4 linked regions of the Caenorhabditis elegans genome follow. The main gene of each other region encodes a partner of the protein of the gene in region 3 in a complex. Each region holds a gene or a part of one and is shown on either strand. Other genes may lie near its edges. The genes, in order: let-49, dpy-22, mdt-1.2 and cdk-8.

Region 1 (3,335 bases), on a different chromosome or scaffold from region 3:
AAAGGAGTTCAAATTTCCAAGTCGCCGAATTTTAGACCATTGAATAATTTTAGGCCTTCACAGGAATTTAGGCTTTCTGAAGAATTTGTGCAAAATGGTATAAAAATGCAAACTTGGAATTAAATAGTATCTCATTATGCATTTTTTGGATTTTCCAAAAAATAAAGTCCAATATTAAATTTCGTGTTTGGAGGTTTTTTAAAGTAATTTTAGTCAAAAAAAAACTCACTTATCTGCCGTTAAAATCACTAATTTCCCATTTAAATTCGCAAAATTCATCAAATCATCTTTCAAAATTACAATTTTCGATTTCAATGATTGCTGTTCCACGTGAATTTCCAAAAGATCTCCATTTTGAGAGCTGATCGCCAGTGTACTATCGTCTATTTTACTGATTTTCTGAATAACACCAATTGGAATTGCAATCTTTTGCCGCAAATCAATCGAACGTTCATCATATTTCCAGCAGAACAGTGTTTGTTCGATACCGCCCGTGTAGATTCTATAATTGATTGGATCCACGCAAATGGCGAATGGACGGGCTGTATGACCGAATACTGTGCTAAAAATGGAGAATTGTGTCGATTTACGCAGCAGTTCTCATGTACTCCTCGTGAAGAAGATTTTTTTTTGAATTGTTTTAGTTGAAATCGATAAATTTAAAGTTAAAAATAAGTATTAGAAAACCAACCAAAGCGGACCACTTTCTCTGTCATCAATTGGCCACATTCGAATTGTTCGATCATCAGAAATTGTGAAAATACGTGTGGAATCCGTTACAATTGAAAAGATCATTCCCTAAAAATTGGAATAGTATAATTCTTTTTTCGGCCAACAACAAAGCTATTTCCAAGTCAAAAATCGAACTTTATGTCCTTTTCTCATAATTGGCTTCTCGTCTTCGTGTGGCTTCCAATCAATTAATTCTCCGATAACACTTCCAAAATACACGTGACAAGATTCTGCACTATTTCCGATGATTAGAGAGCAAATTCTGGAAAATTAGGAAATTGTTCCAGTATTATTTTACTAATTTACGCACGATGTGGCAAAGTAATCGCATTGAATTTTCGATAAAACGCTCAGATTTGAAGATATGCGAATTGTGAGCGAATTCCTCGATGTTACGGTGATTATTTTCTGAAAAATTGGAAAGTTGTTTGAAGTCGGCGATTTTGAGAGTAACCTTTTACCTTTTCTTTTTTGAACAACTTGCAGCCAATGATATGCTCAGGAAACTCCTCAATTATTTGGTTTTCAGCACATTTTGAGTATTTTTCATCAAATTTTGCACATGTGATGATTTTCCCGCTTAGCAGATGTTTTTCAGCTATTTTTGATTGAATAAGGTGGTCGAGAAGACATGGATTATCTTCTAATTCGTCCATTGAACTGAAAACAATTCGTTTAAGAACAAAAATAAATAGAAAAAAGAAAAAAGAAAAAAAAACAAATTTTCAAAAATAATGCAACTGCGCTCCTCCGTACTCTCACGTTTTTCATTTTTCTTTCTTTTATTATTATACTTCCCTTCCTTTTCAGCTCTGTTTTCATCGTTTTCAACTCATTTTTTTCAGTTTTCATTTAAAATGCTTCCTGGTTTTGGTGCACAAACAGTCAGCCCGTTCCCAAATCCTCCAGAGTACGCATCGGCGTATACAAGTGATCGAATCAATAATGGTAAGGAGTTTGAATTTTGAAATTTTGAAACTAGCAGTTTTTAATTCAGCAAACAGTATTTTTTTTTGTTAGAAATAAAACGCAATTTCTCTAACAGATTTCTCATACATCACTTTAACAAGATTCAGGTTCGGCACCACCTCCGCCGCATCCACTTACGGAATTCAAGGTGTACGGAGAGGAATATCGATTGGAAGATGATGTCATCGCGTAAGAAATTTTAGCGGCTATATAAAAACCAAAAACATGCTGAGTCTAGCCGAATTTTCCCACCTATTTTGCAAAAACCTTTTTCAATACGCGGGAAAAACTAGAATAAAACATTCATTTACAGCCCTCTGAAAAACGCCGGTGTTGCTGAGCTCTACAAGAACAAAAATAATTGGAAAACCGAGATGAAGAAGTTGAACAGGTCCGCCATAGTCGCATTTTTCGATTTGGTCGAAATTCTGATTCGCGCTCCCGATCACCCAATGAGAGAGGAGAAAATGGTCGATTTACACACGATATTCATTAATATGCATCATTTGATCAATGAATTCCGGCCAGTTCAGGTAGAAAAGTGTTTTAAAAATGAAATAAAATCTATATTTTTCTATGTTTTTCAGGCTCGCGACAGTGTTCGAATTTTACAAGAGAGACAAATCGAAGAATTATCGGATATTTGCAAGGATTTTAAGTTAGTCAAATCGGAATTAAGTTTTAAATTTGTATATTTTTTCTCCTTTTTTCCAGAAAATATCTGCGTGATGGTCGAGAAGTTGTCGATGACCAATTCCAAATGATCCGTGGGAAGCTTCCAGCTCCACCTCAACCTTCGGAACTGACACGTGTCAAACTGCAAGACGGAGTGCTTCATATGCTTCAGGAGACAGAAGCTTCAGATGACGTGGAAATGAAAGAGGAAGAAGGATCGGAATATAGTAAAAAGAAAGCGAGGCTGGAACTATTATCAAGAGAAGATGGACCACCGAGTGTTGTACACTTGTTAGCAAGACAGTTTCATGATATCTCACTGAAGAAATAATTAAATAATTTCATTTTAATTTATTTTACCGGGTTTTCGAACTATGATTTTGACTCTGATGATCTTCTGAAATGCTGTAATTAAAATTTCGTTTAAAAATAACTTTTTTCAATCGTTTTTTCATCTTTGTTCTGTTGAAAATGCGTCAATTCGCATTCTTTATTTCGAATTATTTTTTATACTTTTTAGGCAGCTTTCGTGTGACATAAACAATTATCTTCAGGGAATACGTTTCATTTCGAAAAACAGTGTTTTTTCTTCAAAAAATTAAAAACCTGAAAATGAGAAAACTAAAATTTTCGGTTTTTTTATTTTAGAGGAAAACGCCAATTAAAAGCGCAAAGTCGTACGTAGCTTTTTCGATTTTATTCTTTCTATAATTGGAAATTATGAGCAGAAATTATTGATTAAAAATCAATAATTTAAGCCAAAAAAACTGTAAAATTCTCTTCTCCTCGAGAAGTATACGAATTCTGCGTGAATCAACACATAATACCCCTAATTTCAGACGCCTCCACTCATCAGGAATGTCAGATGCTGCGACAAGACGACTGATGAAAGAGCTGGCTCAACTGAAAAGTGAGGCTCCAGAAGGGCTTTTAGTGGATAATACATCAACAAGTAACGA
Region 2 (4,704 bases), 7.3 Mb from region 3:
TGAAGCGCTTCACTGAACTGACTGCATTGATCAAGTGTTCTCCATCCTGCGTGGCTAGTTTTCTCTTTCCATTTTTTGTCTGACACCATTTTCTCTTTGATATGGGAAGCCAAAGTTGCAATTTTCATTTCCTTCTCTTTGCGGATTTTGATTTCAGCGAGTTCCTCGTCGGTATAAATTTTCTCGGGTTCGTTATCCGCCACATCTGTATCCTTGTTTTTGTCCCTTTCTTCTTCGCCATCTTTTTTCTTCTCACTTTCCGGAGTTTGTTCCTGATCAGGATCCACCACAGCTATAACAACACAGTCATCCTCGTCTGCTTTTTTGTTGGACTCAATGATCATAATATCATCTTCGTGTTCTTTCTCAGACTTATCAACTTCAGGCGCTTTGTCGACTTCCAGTGGTTCCTCGGTGGTAATTTCAGTGGATTCTTTTGGTTTTTCAGTGGCAGCTGGTGGATCTGATTCCATGGGAACTGTGTCATCTTTAGAAGTTTCATCGTTACTTGTTGAACTTGCATTTGGCTCCTTATCAATTTTGTCATTAGAATCGACAATGGAGGGAGCTTCGGATTTCTCTGCTGATGTAGACGTCTTTGCCGTTTTTGAACTGGTATCATCTTCATTTTCTTTGCCGGTAGGTTCTTCTTCAACTAATTTTTGTTTTTCAGAAGCATCGGTTTTATCATTTGCATCAGCCATTTCAGCATCGTCAGGATTTATCGGAACATCCAGATCATTCGTATGCTCATCAACAGATTTTTCTTTTTCCTTGTCTTTCTCCTTATCTTTGTTCTTCTCCTTAGTTTTAGATTCATCTTCTTTCTTTTCACATTCATTTTCTTTATCGACAGAAAGAGCTGGCGAAGCGCTGGGAGATGATTCAAAATCAATTTGTGGCTGCGTGTTGACAGTTTCCGTTGGTGTTGGATTGGAGAAATCCAGTACTTCATCTTTTGGTGGATCAATTCCAACTCCGCCCTGCTGAATCCAGAAAGGATACGTCATTGAACCATAGCGACCACTAATACGTTCAGGAGTGACAGATCTCTTGCCTATCTTCATGTACTTGAACTCCTCATCGTCAGTGAGTTTTTTTGGAATATCTGTGTGAAGTGGCTTGAAAGGTAAAGGCTCATATGATGGATCATATTGATGTGAGAAAGAGTCATAATCCATAGAATTGTCTGATTGTTGACCTCCATACTCATCATAGTCCATCGGTTCTTGTTTAATCTGTACTTTATCGTGATCAAGAGAAGCTTCATTCGAAGGATTCTGTGGCATTTTTTTTGGCCGATTTTTTGACAATCCTCTTCTTCTCCTCCTTTCAGACTTTTTGAGTGAGCCTGCCTTTCGTTTTTCATGCTGCTTGATAAGTTCTTCAGCTTGTGCTTCTGGTGTTTTGTCAGTCTCATCAAAGTAGGGTACATCAGGAATCTCGTCCAACATATCAATGAAGTCATCGTAATCTTCAAACTCGTAAATTTCGCCATCTTCATTTTCAAATCTGAATTTTTGATTTTTTGTAACTCTCATAAATTTAAGTCTTACTCTTTCTTAATGAAAGTTTTATTAGCAGAATCGTAGTACGCATCAATTTTCCTTTTATCCTGTGCCATTTCGAATAGAAAACCAAGTGCTTGGCAAAGCAGAGTGGAGGACCGTCTAGCTAACACCAGACTGGAGCTGAGATCTTCGACAAAATACACATAATATTTCATGAATGTGCTGAAATGTTATTAATACAATATCAGTTCATGGGTTATCTAATTTGGAAAAGTTTGCAGTGCTTACCTTAAAACTGAAGGGTTCTTAAAGTTTTTCTGCAAAAACAACTGATTGAAAACTTCCGTGAGATCGTTGAGAAACTCCTGTTTATCAAGGACACCATCCTATAACAAAACTAATAAAATTTCTGTTAAAAATAAAACTCTTACATCAAACATATACTTCATGAATCCAGTCAAATAATTCCATGTTTTAGTAGCCTCTCTTCGTTTTATGGGATTTCGAAAAGATTTGTAAAGCTGGGTTACGAGCCAAATTGTTGTTTTGTTGCATGCTTGGCTCAGTTCTAGAGTTGCAACGTCAAGTAATGTTTTCTTTTGTGTCTTGCTTGAAGAGTTGAAACCAAGGATACAAAGAAGTTTCACACACCATATTGCCCGATCGTAGCTTATGCTGAAATAGGCAACTTTAGAACATTCTTCAGTTAGCACAGTATAATTCACATTTGTTTTAATTGTGAATTTTAAAAACAACTCACTTATAATCGCTAAACTCCAAAAAGAGCAGTTCTTTCCTTCTAAATCCAGGGATTCTTTGTGAAAGTTGTTGAAGAGGAGTTCCTCTAGCTAATGCCGAAAAGAATTTCACTCGATCTGACAAAATTCGTTTCCAGTTATGTGGTGCAAAACACGGAAGTTGTTCCTTTGGAATTTTACGTTCTCTGTCATAATTCATGTGGAACTCTCCTTTTTTGTGAATAACCTGAAATTAACATATTTACTCACTTATATAATTGTTGAAAATGACTCACAGAAGCAATCATAGACTGAGATCGTTTTTGAGCTTTCTCCAGACGAATTAGCTTATTTTCCGATGCGTTGAAAACCAATGATTGAAGCTCGTATTGCGTTAATGGCATCTAAAATCAAAACTCGGGTTGTATAATTCATATCCTCACGTGTGCTTTCTCTGTTTCTTTTTACGCTCATCAAACATCTAGCCACACACCAAGCTAATCATCCCCTAGTACCTCCATAGTTACATTGCACTCTGTTTGAGCATCTTTTTCCTCGCCCTGGCACGACACTCACCTGATATCCTTTCTTTAATCGTTCCGTTGTCAACATATCCTCTTCTTGATTCTTGTTTTGTTTATACACATCAGCAGTTCCCATTCGAAGGTTGGTTTTCCGGAGCATACGTTCGCCGGGCTGCTCGTCAAACCACGAGGCGACGCCATCCTCGGGGTAGACGTCGTCCTCGTCGTCTACCACTGACGTCGATGGGTACGAAATGATTGCTAAAATTTTTTTATTTGCAATAACTTCCCAAATTTTGAAGATAATATGTTAAGAAAAAGAAAAAATACAATCAGGCGACGTTTTTAAGTGATAACAACATAAAAACTGACAGAAAAATGAAAGGAGGAACGAATAAGAATTTAAAGGAAAGTGGGTTCTATTTATTTAGAAAATATTGTGAAAAAAATAAGTATTAAAAAGTTTTTTTTTTGGAATATCATCATTCATGTCTAGTTCACTTTTCCAACTCTAAAATTGTGTTCAAAATCCAATATTCAAAATTTTGTGGGTTCCCAATTAGTTAAAAAAACACAATGTGAGCTTTTAAAAAAAGTGAAAAATTAAACTCAACATGTGGACAGAGATGTATTCATAAAGCACCTTTCATCGATTGTAAAGAAACACATCAACCCCAGTACGGATGATGACATTCAAAGATGGCTGTAAAAAAGACGCAGAGAAGCGAGGAAGAAACGCACAAACGGCGAGTAGCAGGCAGTTGGAAAGAAATAGAGAATTGGCCCCTGAGAACACAGAACACAGCAAGAAATACACTGATGGAAGAGAGAGACGCAGAGATGGAGAGTGCTGCACAGCAAGGCACACAGACCCATCGATCGGAACTGTCTCGCTATTTTCTCAAAATGGTCCACTCATAAGTCGTTTGTTTAATTGCAGGGAAAATTGTATTGTTGTAAGAAATGGTAAATACGTTAAAACTTCAACTTTCAGAACGATAAGAAAGTAGACTTTTTTGGGAGTTGTGAATGAGCTAATATTCCAAGATGGTGAACCCAAAAAAAAAAAAGGAAATCAAGTAGTATGCATATCACCTACAGATCAGCATGAACTGATAATATTTGTTATTTGAATATGTGCAATTTTAATAACTTTAATGCGCGTTGTTTCAGAATATGGTTTCGGATGTTCAGGCAGTTTACTGATATTATACAAAAAACCAGCGAAGTTTTTTTGAAACTAAGCTAAAAACGACCTTACGCGCAAAAAATTCCAACATCTGGGTATTGTCTGCAGTTAGAATCACATTCTCGCAAATTTAAATTTATGAGAAAGGACAAATGATGAGAGAAAATGTCATATGTCAGATAAAATTATATGAAAACGGAAGAAAAAAACTCTAAGTTTCTTCATTTCAGAATGTCATAGGGCAAATCCCCCGATTGATGTTTCAATGTAATGCATATTTGAATATATATTTTAATTTTTTTTACAACTCCACAATATCGTTTTGAACTTTGAACAAAATATTGAAAATAAAAATTAGAATTGATTGAAATTGTTATAATTCTTCAAATCAGGATCGCGGAAAATTTTCAAAACGAAATAAATCACTAAAAAGTGTTTATTTAAATTCAGTAAATTCTAGTAATTAGGTCTTGTATTCCGCGTTTCTTTTATAATTTCAAAAATACAATTCAGCGATGTTATCACGCATCACAATTGTTTGAAAATTGTGTGTTTGTATATAAATAATTTATAATCAAAAACACGAAACAAAATAAAAATGATCAGGAATTGCTTGAAGACAATTGAGAAGTAGAAGAAAAATATGAGGAAATGAAAAAATGGAACACTGGTTCTTTAAAAATTTAAGACGATAAAGAAATAAAGTTGAAAAAGTAGTCAACAATACAATGAACAAAAATATC
Region 3 (5,322 bases):
CTTTCCACAACAGTCTCCTGTCAAATTTGTAACATATACGTAATTATGGATATAGTTTCTGTCAATAATGAATTTGTCAAAAAATCAATTTTTTGGGTTTTCATGCTTAAACAGAGTTTGTAAATTATATTAATCCCAAATTACAAAATTATGCAATCGGATTTCTCAAAAATGTTTTAAAACTTTTTAAGAAAGGTCAAAATTTCAATGATCATTAAATGAACATTGATTTCCGGCCATGTGCCACATACAAACATAAATATTGAAGATTTTAGCTGAATTGAACAGTTTTTTTTTGAAATTTTGAACTGCAATGTAAAATATTTTAAAAACTTTGAAAAGTCTCATTATGAAATTTAGTTGTTTGGGTAAACTTTCGAGGTCTTTGGGCAACTAGAGCTACTTTTATATATTTTCAGCAAGCTTACAATTGACATAATTAAAGAAAATATTGCCCAGTTTGACTATTAAAGATATTTTTGACCCTAAGTAATCAACTTTCAGTATTCATGCAAAAAACCTCTAATCATTTTTTTCTGCTTTTCAGCTCTTTGAAAAATTCAGATGGCAAATTTTAAATAATACAAATGCATATAAAACTTAATTTCAAACATTCACAACAATCAAAATGAGTATCAAATAAGGCTCAAGTATATAATAAAACAAAAACTATACAAACACATCATAAGTCAAAAATCCGTTAGAAGGAACGTCCAGCCGCATAAGTTGGAATTGGGCCCACAGTCTCCGGGTTTTCACTTCTCAACGGAACTTTGATCTTTGCCAAGTTGCAGTCACTACCCGACACGGCGTAGGTAAGCATATTTGGAATGCTCCAAGTTCTGAAATTTTCAAATGTTTTCTCTAGGATGTTCTATGGACAAAGAGTTGGCACCAAAACTGCTATTGACATTCTCAGGAACTTTGCAACAAGTCCTGCGTTTGCGTTAGTGTACGGTTTCAACTTACTCATTGAGTTTTCTGCTCAATGTTTCATCAATCTTTTCAGCAATCTGGAGGCCTGTCTGTGCATGCACAACATTCACCTTTGCCTCACAAACTCCACTATCCTGGATTACAACTGCAAATTTACTTAATATTAAACACTTTATCTATCTAGAACTCACCTTTGACCGGCGCAAATTTTGTATCAAAGGTGATTACAATTTGCTCTCTTGTCAGAAAAACGTCCATCTTGATTGCGGCAACCGTGTGCTTTTTCATACCCTGCTTCTCATAACACGCGGATATCATCGACTCCCAAAGGCTGATATGCATGGCTTCGTTGCGAAGAATTGCAATTATCTGCAATTATAATTTATTTTTATCGAGTAGTGGAATATCTGACTACATATGTTAATGATGTCTTAAATAATATTTCTACTTCTAGTATTTGAACGGACTCACAAAGTTCAATAATTCCCTGTGGCAAAAAACCGAAAGTTGCAAAATGTGTGTCCATATTATGTAAAGCATGCATTAGCATGTATGCTTATTTTCTCAAAACAAAAAAGATACTCAAATGTTTATGTTTTTGCTAATTGAATCATGAAACTGGCGCTTTTAAAATACAATCTATGTTACTACTGCTTACCTCATGAAAATCTTGCAAATGCTTCAAATAAATCTCAGTGATCACAGAGTCACCATCATTGCGCAACTGGTTCACATCGACATTGTAGAAGTGTTGAGTTTGTCCATCGCCAAACTGTGTAATCATCTGCAGGTTGTTCTCAATCTTCACCGCTCCAGTCACGTAGCGATAGCTATTTGTGAAATGCTTAACGGATGGAGTCTTTGCACTGATTGCTCCCAACTTCTTTCTAGTCGTTTCAGTAAGATTGAACCCTCTGGATAGCTTCATACAAATCACAGCGTTTGCTTCAATAGATTCTGCCCAGCCTCTGGAAATTTACAATTTTCAATAATATTAAGATGTGAATGAACTCACTTTGTGTCAAACTCTGGAAGTGTACACGGGCTATCATGCTTGGCAAACGAAAATTCAAAGTATGGCAAAACTTCGTGATCATCCTTTTGTAACTGGAAAATATGATCCTTGGAGCGAATGTTCCGAAAGTGTGGTTCCGCCAAATAATATACACGCCCTGCGCGGAGATCATTACGTGGAAGGTAGAAACTAAAATTAAAATTTTTCATTAAAAAAATAATTATAAAGTTACCCATAGTTGGATCTGTGAATTGAAGTGTAGGAAGGGTCTTGAGAGAAGTGTCCAAAAAGCATCTCGAGCATTCTCATAGCTCCCATGCAGTTTCTACGATCGTCTCTGAAAAATGGGAGTGAGTTCTAGAAGCATTATTTTTTGCTTTGCTCAAAGTCAAACAACATACCTGCTCAACAACTTATCATACGTCAACAGCATATCTGAGATTCGGTTTCGAAGCTCTGTCCACATCCCTAACTGGAGCATTCTTGTAGCTTCTGGGGAGTAGAATGAAGGCTCTTCCCAAAAACTAAGCACAACGGTTGTCACTTCACCATCGTTGACAGTAAAGTCCATGATGAGATCTTCTTGACGATTGATGGACCATCCGCGAGAAGTTTGTTTGTGCAAGCATCTGGAAATAAAAGTGAGCTATGTATTTTAATAAATTTTGAGCGATTAGAAGTTATGGCTAGGCAAATTTCAAGTGGATAACGTTGGAATATGTATAAGTTTTGTCGGACTCCAACGTACCAGGTTTCTAATTTTTTTAAAAGGAAACTAGTCTATCGAGAAACAAATGTTGTGCAGTACTTTCATTTATTTGTGAAATGTAATAATGTGTAAAGATTTCAGAGAAATTGAGTAGGTGCTCACTTTCTTAATTTTGTATATTTAGTACGCGATTATTTTCTAGCAATTGGCAGTCGGTAAACTCTTCTAGTTTTTGACAGGTTTGCGTCTCAATCTTGGATACAAGTACAATATTTTTATTACAAACTAGGGTCCGATGTGGAACTGATTTTGGTTCTTCAAGAAAACATGAAACTTGACAGTGTTTCAGAAAATTTGAAGTATATGTGGGTCTACTCCTTTTTGATTTTTTTCTTTCTTGAAGCAACAGGTGCTACGAAAAATAGATTTCCAAGTTATTAATGCTCAATCGGCAAATGAATTCTACCTTAAGAGCACTCAAAAATTATACATTTTGATGCATGTGAAAAATAGGTGCAAGGAAATGCTCTATCATTTTTAGCAGTTAAATTCTAGGTTCCAAAAAAGCCAGGTTTTTATGGCAGTTTTCTAAATTTAACGCCATTTCTCTAACTGAAAACTTACCCAAGACTCTCAGCCATAACCCGTATCTTCTCCTCCATCAGATTGTTTTCCTCGATTGGCATTTTTGTTTTCATGTACGCAATCCCGTTGAGCACGTCAATTCTACCATCAGCATCGATTGTGTTACGTTTTTCCTGCAATTCATGCATTTTTCAAATTGTCTTTCACAATAAATAAGTTTAAAGAAAATAGTTACCAACAAGTTTCGCCTCACAGCCTGCCCGAATGATGTCCATTCCATTTTTGATGCGGCTTGCCGGACCTGTTCCAATCTCATTTCCTCGTCAATATGCTCAATGTTGAGCTCTTGATTCTTCCGCTGCTCCAACAGGTAAACTTTCGTTTTCGGTGATGGAGTGGAAACCATTCTAAAATCGAAATTTAATCGAGTTGAATACAAATTTACAAATAAGAGAGGAAAGTTAACAATAAAAAATAAATATAAACAAAAAGAAATAAAAAATAAGATGTCGTCTTCAAAGGGAAGTCCGCAAAATGCCGTGATGGTGTTTGCACACTGTCTGCACACTCCTTGGATACCTTATCTCTAGCTAATGCGTGTTTGAGAGAGCGGGAGAGGAACATGGGCAATGGAGGGGAGAAGGACACAGCCAAGACATTAGAAAAGTGGTGTCATAGAACATGGAAACGATGATGAACAATTACAATTGCTAATGGAAAAAAATAAGTATGGGAATTTCGAGAAGAAGAAGAACTTGTCAAAAAAAATTTTTTTTTGCTTTTCCATGCCAGTGTTTTTCTATATTTTCAGTTCAATCCTAGGGCGAATGACAATATTTTTTAGGACCTAATGTGAATCTGGACAAGTATTTGCGGTATAGTTTTTGTTTTTATTGGGGCTTGAAAATCGTTACTAAATTGTGAAAACATCTTGATGGAAACACTCCCAATGATAGCCCATTTTGAATATGACTAAGATATTTTGCCGAGAATACTTTTGAAAATAATTTTTTCATTACAAAAAAAGTAGTTTAAAAGTGTGTTGAAAACGGTTTTGCATTTTAAAAATCACTAAATGATACTGCCACTTAAAAAAATGATTTTACACACATTTATCTTCTTTTTGTATAATACATACATATTCTTAAACAAAATTTGATAAGTTTACAAACGGTCGTACTTTTGTCATTCTACACCCTTAAATTTTTAAAATTTTTCTTCAAATAAAAAATTTATACCGTGAGATTATGCATTATTTTTACTAGGTATTTTTCAATCATCAAAGACTCCTGGCAGTTTTTTAAACTTAATTTCAAGTTGCTTAATATCAAATTTTCCCCGTTTTTTTAAGTTTCATCTAATTTATAAACAAGCTTTATATATTTTCACAACATGCCATGTTTCGGTGGGATTCCCAATGCAATCTCACAACGTTATGAACATTTTTGCTGAAAATTTCAAAAATTTCGAGAATTTTTCCACAAATCGTTCACAATTCAACAAAAAATCTGCTGATCTAAAATTTTCCCAAAACGAATATAGCATGTATCACAAATCTTTCAATGTTCTTTCATCTCTTTGTTGAACCATCTGACGAACAGGTGCTCGAACACTGTTGCGCTTTTTTCGCCTCAACAGATGTTGGACCTTCGAGGAATTGCACAACGGTGCTCTGTGTTCTCCCTCAATTTTCTGGTGGTGTAGCCGTTGTGTGCATTGACTGCGCAGCCAGACCCACCAGTTTCCTCGTCGTCGTCGTCTCTGTTTCAAGTCCAATTTATAGGGCGGGCAGGCGGCTGTGCTGCTGGTTTCGTTGTCTCGCCGTCTTCCATTCTTCGTCTCGACTGGTTGGTATTAGGTCGAATGTTTTTTTTTTTGGATTTTACAAGTTCTCTCTCATCCAATTCTTTCTTCACTCTCATATTTCAATTGGCCACTTCATTTTCGATGTTTGCACACTTGAGCGAACTTGTTTTCGAATTTATAATCTGTAAATTTTAAAGCTAACAAAATGTCGCTGAGCAGTCAACAGCCTGCAGAAAACCAACCATTCGACTTCAAATCATCACAACTTTAC
Region 4 (5,634 bases), on a different chromosome or scaffold from region 3:
CAGAAGGACACGCGCTTTATATATAGTAAATGATAGTAAATGATAATCATGAAACATACCTGTTGTTGTTGTCGATGTTGTGCTTGCGCATAGCTTATCTGTTGTTGTCCTTGCTGATTTTGTGCCATAAATACAGCTCGATTTTGTTGTTGAATTTGATTTGCTACTTGCTGTCCTGGAATTAAATTTAAAACTCTTTTCAGTTTTTCAAACAAGAATGTCTTATACAACACGTAATGTGAGACCCAACACACGAGTTTGAAATTTTCCAGAATTATTTTGATTGTTTTCGATTTTTTTTTGTTTGCAAAAACAGTGAAAATTTAATCAATATTTAATTTTTCCTTTTGGAAAATATGTGAAACTTCAATCGTTCAAAAATCAGAAATCGAGTTATTCGAAATGTAAATGTAGAGTTAATTTGTGTCTAGAATATTATTCCAATAAAACAATTAATTATTGCAGAAACATATACGCGATTCTAGATATACGTAGTACTTGTATTCTATTGATAAAACACACGGCATCCGGAGACCGTAAATAAATTGAAATAAAACCGATTTAAAAAAAAAAATATTTTGTTTTGAATAACATCAATTAAATATTGACTATCAATTTTCTAAATAAAATTAAAAACTTACTCTGATAACCTTGTTGAACGTTATGTCCTTGCACAGGTCGCATTTGAACACCAACTGCAACATTTCGACCCGCTATCGTTCCCTGCAATTTCTTTTGAAAAATTAAAATAGTTTCGTGAATTTGAAATTTTGTTTCAATTCTTAGAATTTGTTATGTTGATTGAGAAACTGATAATAAAGACTTACTGGATGTCCAAAGTTTACTTGCATTGGTTGACCACCAGGAACTTGGCGAACATAGGCAGGACCGACACCATTTTGCTGAATCTGACGTACTCCCGGGGGTAGTTGAACTATCTGAAATAAACTTTAATTCATAAATTCAAGCATATGTCTTGTCTCGAACAAAATTTGATTATATTCTTCAAAATCTCACCCTCTGCTGTCCGTTTCCGTCGTGATGAACCGTTCGAATTCCTGCCGTTTGCACATACGTGGCATTTTGTGATACTGCACCACCAGCTTGTGCAGGCATCACTTTTTGAACGTAAGTTCTGTAATATCTTTCGAGTGTTGTTATTGGATTTCTTGATCCAAATAACTAAAACTGAACAAGCTATTTTTTAATTCAACTCATACCTCTGGTTTCCCATCATTTGATGATCACCCATTTGCATTTGAACTGATCGGCCTGTAAATTTGAGTTGTTATCTTTTGAAAACTCGACAAATGCTAAAATCTGCAACAACGAGAGAGCGAGACTTCGTGAGAACATAAGAATTTTTTGATTTATGTTAGAAAATTCTGGAAAAGTTAAGAAATATTTATTTCCGACGACCAGTTTATTTTAAATTCAGACAAAATAATATCCAAAATACAATATTCGGTTTGTTCATTCTAAACTGATTTGAGGCAAACGCGGTTACAGGATCGATTGAAAGCGTTATTCGCTGCCAAACCAGAGTATCCTCTCTGAATGTGCATTCCTCCTAGTTATTTGTCTGTTAGACATGTGGCATTTATTGATTAGTTAATTTATTGATTTTTCAGTCTTAACGCTGTGTTCTTTGGGAAGAAGAAGTGACGTTCGGCGAGAATTTGCCACAAGAAAAAGTGCTAGAAAACGAAGACCGACGAAGATGTCGTGATATTTGGTGTTTAGTACGTGGGTGCAGTGTTTGCGGACTTCCTTACCGTACACTTCAATTTTAATTTTCGTTTTTCTGGACATCGATTTTCCTGGCATAAAGACTGAGTAGTATTCGCTGTAGTAACTGAAAAATGACGTAAGTTGGAAATTTGCACTATAAATAAATCAGAAAATCCCTATTGCAGATTAATGATTGATGAAAACTTCAAAAAACAATTGGCACAGCGTCGAGAGAGAGTAGAAGACCTTTTCTACTTTGAAAATTCAAAAGAAATCGGCAGAGGAACATATGGATTAGTTTATAAAGCAGTTCCGAAAAAGCAAAATGGACAATTTCCTAACAAAGAATACGCATTAAAAATGATTGAGGGACAAGGATTTTCAATGTCTGCATGCAGAGAAATTGCTCTATTCAGAGAATTAAGGTAATTTCACCGATTAAATAATATTAATTTAAAATGAAGATTGAATTCGAGATTTTCCCCTTTTTATAATCTAAAATTCGAAAAAAAAACTGAAGTAGATATTCAAAAAAAAAAAATGTTTCAGGCATCCGAATTTAATCTGTCTTCAACGTGTATTTCTTACCAACGAAAAAAAAGTCTGGCTTTTATTGGATTATGCTGAACACGATCTCTGGCACGTTATCAAACATCATCGAACAGCTAAAAGCAAGAAAGTCCCAATTATGGTGCCACGGAATATGGTCAAAAATATATTGTTTCAAATTTTATCAGGTTTGAAATTCTAAAATCCAATTTCACTCAACTGTATTTTAAAATATTCAGGAATGCATTATTTACATTCAAACTGGGTACTACATCGAGATCTCAAACCAGCAAATATTCTATTAATGGGTGATGGACCACCTGACATGAGAGGAAGGTTTGACTGAATTTGAAATTTATGCGATAATATGAAATAATAATTCTAGGGTAAAAATTGCTGATTTGGGATTTTCAAGAATCTATGCAAATCCTCTGAAACCGATGGCTGAATTAGATCCAGTAGTTGTCACATTCTGGTACAGAGCACCTGAATTGCTTCTCGGAGCAAAGCATTATACAAAGGTACGTTGAAAAATCTATTTAATAAGGAAAAAATGCATAATCTCAGGCTATTGACGTATGGGCTATCGGATGCATTTTTGCCGAACTTCTTACCGCTGAACCATTATTTTTCTGTAAAGAGGAAGACATCAAGGCACAAAATCCATATCACTATGATCAAGTGAAAAGGTACAGATTTTTTGGAAATTAAAATCATTAACTATTCGAAATTTTTAAAGAATATTCCATCTACTCGGATACCCATCAGATGCTGATTGGCCTGATATGAAGAAAATGCCGGATCATCAAAGACTTCTAAGCGATGCTAGAAATGAAGGGTAAATTATAATATAAAAGTTTTCAAATTTATTTTGATAGATTACTTAAAGGCACATTATTTTTTTCAGTAGCGTGAATGGCTTCAATGAAACCGAATTAGTCTCAAATTAGGAAATACCACAAAAAAAGGAAAAAAAAATCGCGAAAGAATTAAAAATCCAAGATTAAAAAACGAGTCGCTGATTGGTCGCAGTTCTCATTTAGGTGGCAATTCAAACAATTGAAAATCGCGATTTCAAAAGTTGGTTTTTCATTCTTGCGATTTTTTCCATTTTTTGTGGCATTTCCGAATTTGAGAGAATTTCGGATGTGTGAATTTGTATTGCAATATATAACGGCTTTAAAAAAGTTTTACATAATTATAAATAAACAATTTTCAGAACACCAATTCAAACATTTCCAAACAGCTTGCATCGATACTTTGATAAATGGAAAATCAATTCACAAAGCTCTCCATATAGATTACTTGTCAAATTGCTCACAGTTGACCCTACAAAACGTGTCAGTTGTGAAGAAGCGATGAATGATATTTATTTTAGAGTTCGTTTGAAATTTAATTTGAATAATATTTGAAAAAACCATTTGCAGAAAATGGAAAGACCACCAAGGGAGACTGACGACGTGTTCAATAAATATCCAATTCCATACGCGAAGAAGGAACAGCAGATGACGGTAAGGGCATCAATTGTTGAATACACTGCAAATGTTCCCAAGATTCTTTTACAGGTTGCACCAGATCAAGCACAACAACAGCATCAACAACAACAAGTTCAAATGCAACAACAACCACAAATGGGACAGCAACAAATGATGGGACAACCTCAAATGGTACAACCTCAGATGGGACAACCACCAATGGGTGGAGCACATCCCGGAGTTGTTGCTCCAGATGGACATCCACATCAAATGATGCAGCAACAACAGCATCCACAACAGCATCATGTCAGTTTTCTAAATATTCAGAATGAAAAGTTAACTTTTTCTGTTCAGATGCAATATCAAGGAATGCATGATCCAATGCAAGGTGGAATGGATGAAGGACCACAAGCAAAAATGATGAGAATGGGAAATGTTCCTGTTGGAAGAGTAAGCTTTTTAATTAGAAAATAATAATAAAAAACATAACATGGCTGAATATCATAATTAAGGATTTCAAATTTTCAAAGTTTTTGTAAATTTCCAAATTTCGCAAATTTTGATAGATTGATTGTTGAATTTGCAAATTTTTGTAAAATGATTTATAATTTTTTTGTTGGTAAATTGCCAAACTTTCAAAAATTGAAATTTCTTGAAATATTCGTTAATCGTTGCAAAATAGTAGATAGAAACTAATTTTGATAATTTTTGGTTTATTTCCAAATCATGGTAGATGAAGTAATTTTCACTTTTTACTGTAGGTAAAACTATTTTGAAAAATTGTTGAAAAGCGTTACTAGGATATTGGGTCATTTTAAGATCATAGGAGTGATTTTCATCATTTTTCCCTATGGCAATACTCCACTTTTCAAATTCTTATGTTCAATTCTACAATTGCAGTATGCACCGATGCCTCCTCCATACGGTGCTCCACAAGACTATCACCCGCAACAAGGTCCACCAATGGTGCAAATGATGCAACAACCGGGACCATCCGGCTACTATCCACAACGACCAGGACAACCAACAGGAGCAGTTCCTGGACCAGGACCTCAAGGATATATGAATCCACAAATGGGAATGCAAATGGGCATGCGTGCTCCAGGAGTTCCACCACAAGGATATATGCCTGGTCGTGGAATGGCTCCCCCTCAAATGGGACAACAGCAACCCGGTCCAAATCAACAGCAACAACAGCAATGGCAACAACAATATCATCGATAAACATTTCATTTGTAACATGTATGTATCTATAGTACTCACATCAAACTAATATTGCTCGTCATGTGTAATTTGAAGGCTTTGTAAATTGTATTTTTTTGAAATACGTTCACAATAAAATTGAGAAAATACGTGGCAGTTATCAAAATCAAATTCGGAAAGATTTTTTTGGTTTAATTCAAAATAGAAAACAAAGCAAAATGAGTGAATGAAGCCGTTTTTCAGGGGGGGTTCGAGATTTTTTCATCGTAAGGTTGGGGTATAATCATTTAAAACAATTTTAAAATTGAAATTCTATATTGGAAGTCGTTCATTTTTTGAAGTCGGATGTGATTCGATGCAAGCGGAGAATTCGGTCACCGTGATACTTGGACATGTTCTGCAAACATTTTAATTTTAAGATTTTAAAGCTGTTTGGAAATAATATTTCTTTTTCTCTGATGGTCTCACAACGATCGTTTGAACACTTCAATTTAAATAAAAAACGAACCTCAACACACAATACCACTAATTTATTTTCACATTTTTCGGATCCACTTGATTGGAAAATGCTTGTATTCGATGAGATGTGACCTGCCAAAGAAGTCAGAGATGCTGCAATAAATTATATTCTAAAAATTGTCTTCAATTTCTCAAAAATTACAATCGGCTCTTCTCC

Evidence for each region.
Region 1: mdt-1.2 (region 3) and let-49 share a complex: the UniProt entries of both Caenorhabditis elegans proteins name them as parts of the mediator complex.
Region 2: mdt-1.2 (region 3) and dpy-22 share a complex: the UniProt entries of both Caenorhabditis elegans proteins name them as parts of the mediator complex.
Region 4: mdt-1.2 (region 3) and cdk-8 share a complex: the UniProt entries of both Caenorhabditis elegans proteins name them as parts of the mediator complex.

What each region holds. Positions count from the first base shown.
Region 1 is NC_003279.8:14,818,835-14,822,169, forward strand, and holds let-49 (Mediator of RNA polymerase II transcription subunit 7), read left to right. Parts: upstream 1-1,577; 5' UTR 1,578-1,589; coding exon 1,590-1,680; intron 1,681-1,802; coding exon 1,803-1,890; intron 1,891-2,014; coding exon 2,015-2,234; intron 2,235-2,288; coding exon 2,289-2,359; intron 2,360-2,415; coding exon 2,416-2,707; 3' UTR 2,708-2,817; downstream 2,818-3,335. Other genes in the region: Y54E5B.2 (WD_REPEATS_REGION domain-containing protein), read right to left, coding at 230-562, 692-798, 868-994, 1,043-1,140, 1,194-1,388; ubc-16 (Ubiquitin-conjugating enzyme E2 W), read left to right, coding at 3,235-3,335. UniProt on the Caenorhabditis elegans protein: Component of the Mediator complex, a coactivator involved in the regulated transcription of nearly all RNA polymerase II-dependent genes.
Region 2 is NC_003284.9:9,819,239-9,823,942, forward strand, and holds the start of dpy-22 (Mediator of RNA polymerase II transcription subunit 12), read right to left. Parts: upstream 3,036-4,704; 5' UTR 2,933-3,035; coding exon 2,825-2,932; intron 2,653-2,824; coding exon 2,545-2,652; intron 2,496-2,544; coding exon 2,272-2,495; intron 2,187-2,271; coding exon 1,943-2,186; intron 1,898-1,942; coding exon 1,800-1,897; intron 1,734-1,799; coding exon 1,557-1,733; intron 1,513-1,556; coding exon 1-1,512. UniProt on the Caenorhabditis elegans protein: Component of the Mediator complex, a coactivator involved in regulated gene transcription of nearly all RNA polymerase II-dependent genes.
Region 3 is NC_003284.9:17,149,852-17,155,173, reverse strand, and holds mdt-1.2 (Mediator of RNA polymerase II transcription subunit 1.2), read right to left. Parts: upstream 3,653-5,322; 5' UTR 3,652-3,652; coding exon 3,481-3,651; intron 3,419-3,480; coding exon 3,285-3,418; intron 2,581-3,284; coding exon 2,353-2,580; intron 2,289-2,352; coding exon 2,184-2,288; intron 2,141-2,183; coding exon 1,952-2,140; intron 1,905-1,951; coding exon 1,595-1,904; intron 1,306-1,594; coding exon 1,128-1,305; intron 1,082-1,127; coding exon 970-1,081; intron 843-969; coding exon 701-842; 3' UTR 527-700; downstream 1-526. Other genes in the region: T23C6.4 (Caprin-1_dimer domain-containing protein), read left to right, coding at 5,257-5,322. UniProt on the Caenorhabditis elegans protein: Component of the Mediator complex, a coactivator involved in the regulated transcription of nearly all RNA polymerase II-dependent genes.
Region 4 is NC_003279.8:8,700,700-8,706,333, forward strand, and holds cdk-8 (Cyclin-dependent kinase 8), read left to right. Parts: upstream 1-1,766; 5' UTR 1,767-1,862; coding exon 1,863-1,867; intron 1,868-1,916; coding exon 1,917-2,156; intron 2,157-2,280; coding exon 2,281-2,468; intron 2,469-2,519; coding exon 2,520-2,616; intron 2,617-2,665; coding exon 2,666-2,801; intron 2,802-2,847; coding exon 2,848-2,969; intron 2,970-3,019; coding exon 3,020-3,118; intron 3,119-3,499; coding exon 3,500-3,659; intron 3,660-3,707; coding exon 3,708-3,791; intron 3,792-3,845; coding exon 3,846-4,061; intron 4,062-4,109; coding exon 4,110-4,205; intron 4,206-4,655; coding exon 4,656-4,979; 3' UTR 4,980-5,126; downstream 5,127-5,634. Other genes in the region: tlf-1 (TATA box-binding protein-like 1), read right to left, coding at 60-175, 642-723, 828-938, 1,018-1,144, 1,221-1,258; cle-1 (Fibronectin type-III domain-containing protein), read right to left, coding at 5,287-5,355, 5,467-5,570, 5,620-5,634. UniProt on the Caenorhabditis elegans protein: Component of the Mediator complex, a coactivator involved in regulated gene transcription of nearly all RNA polymerase II-dependent genes.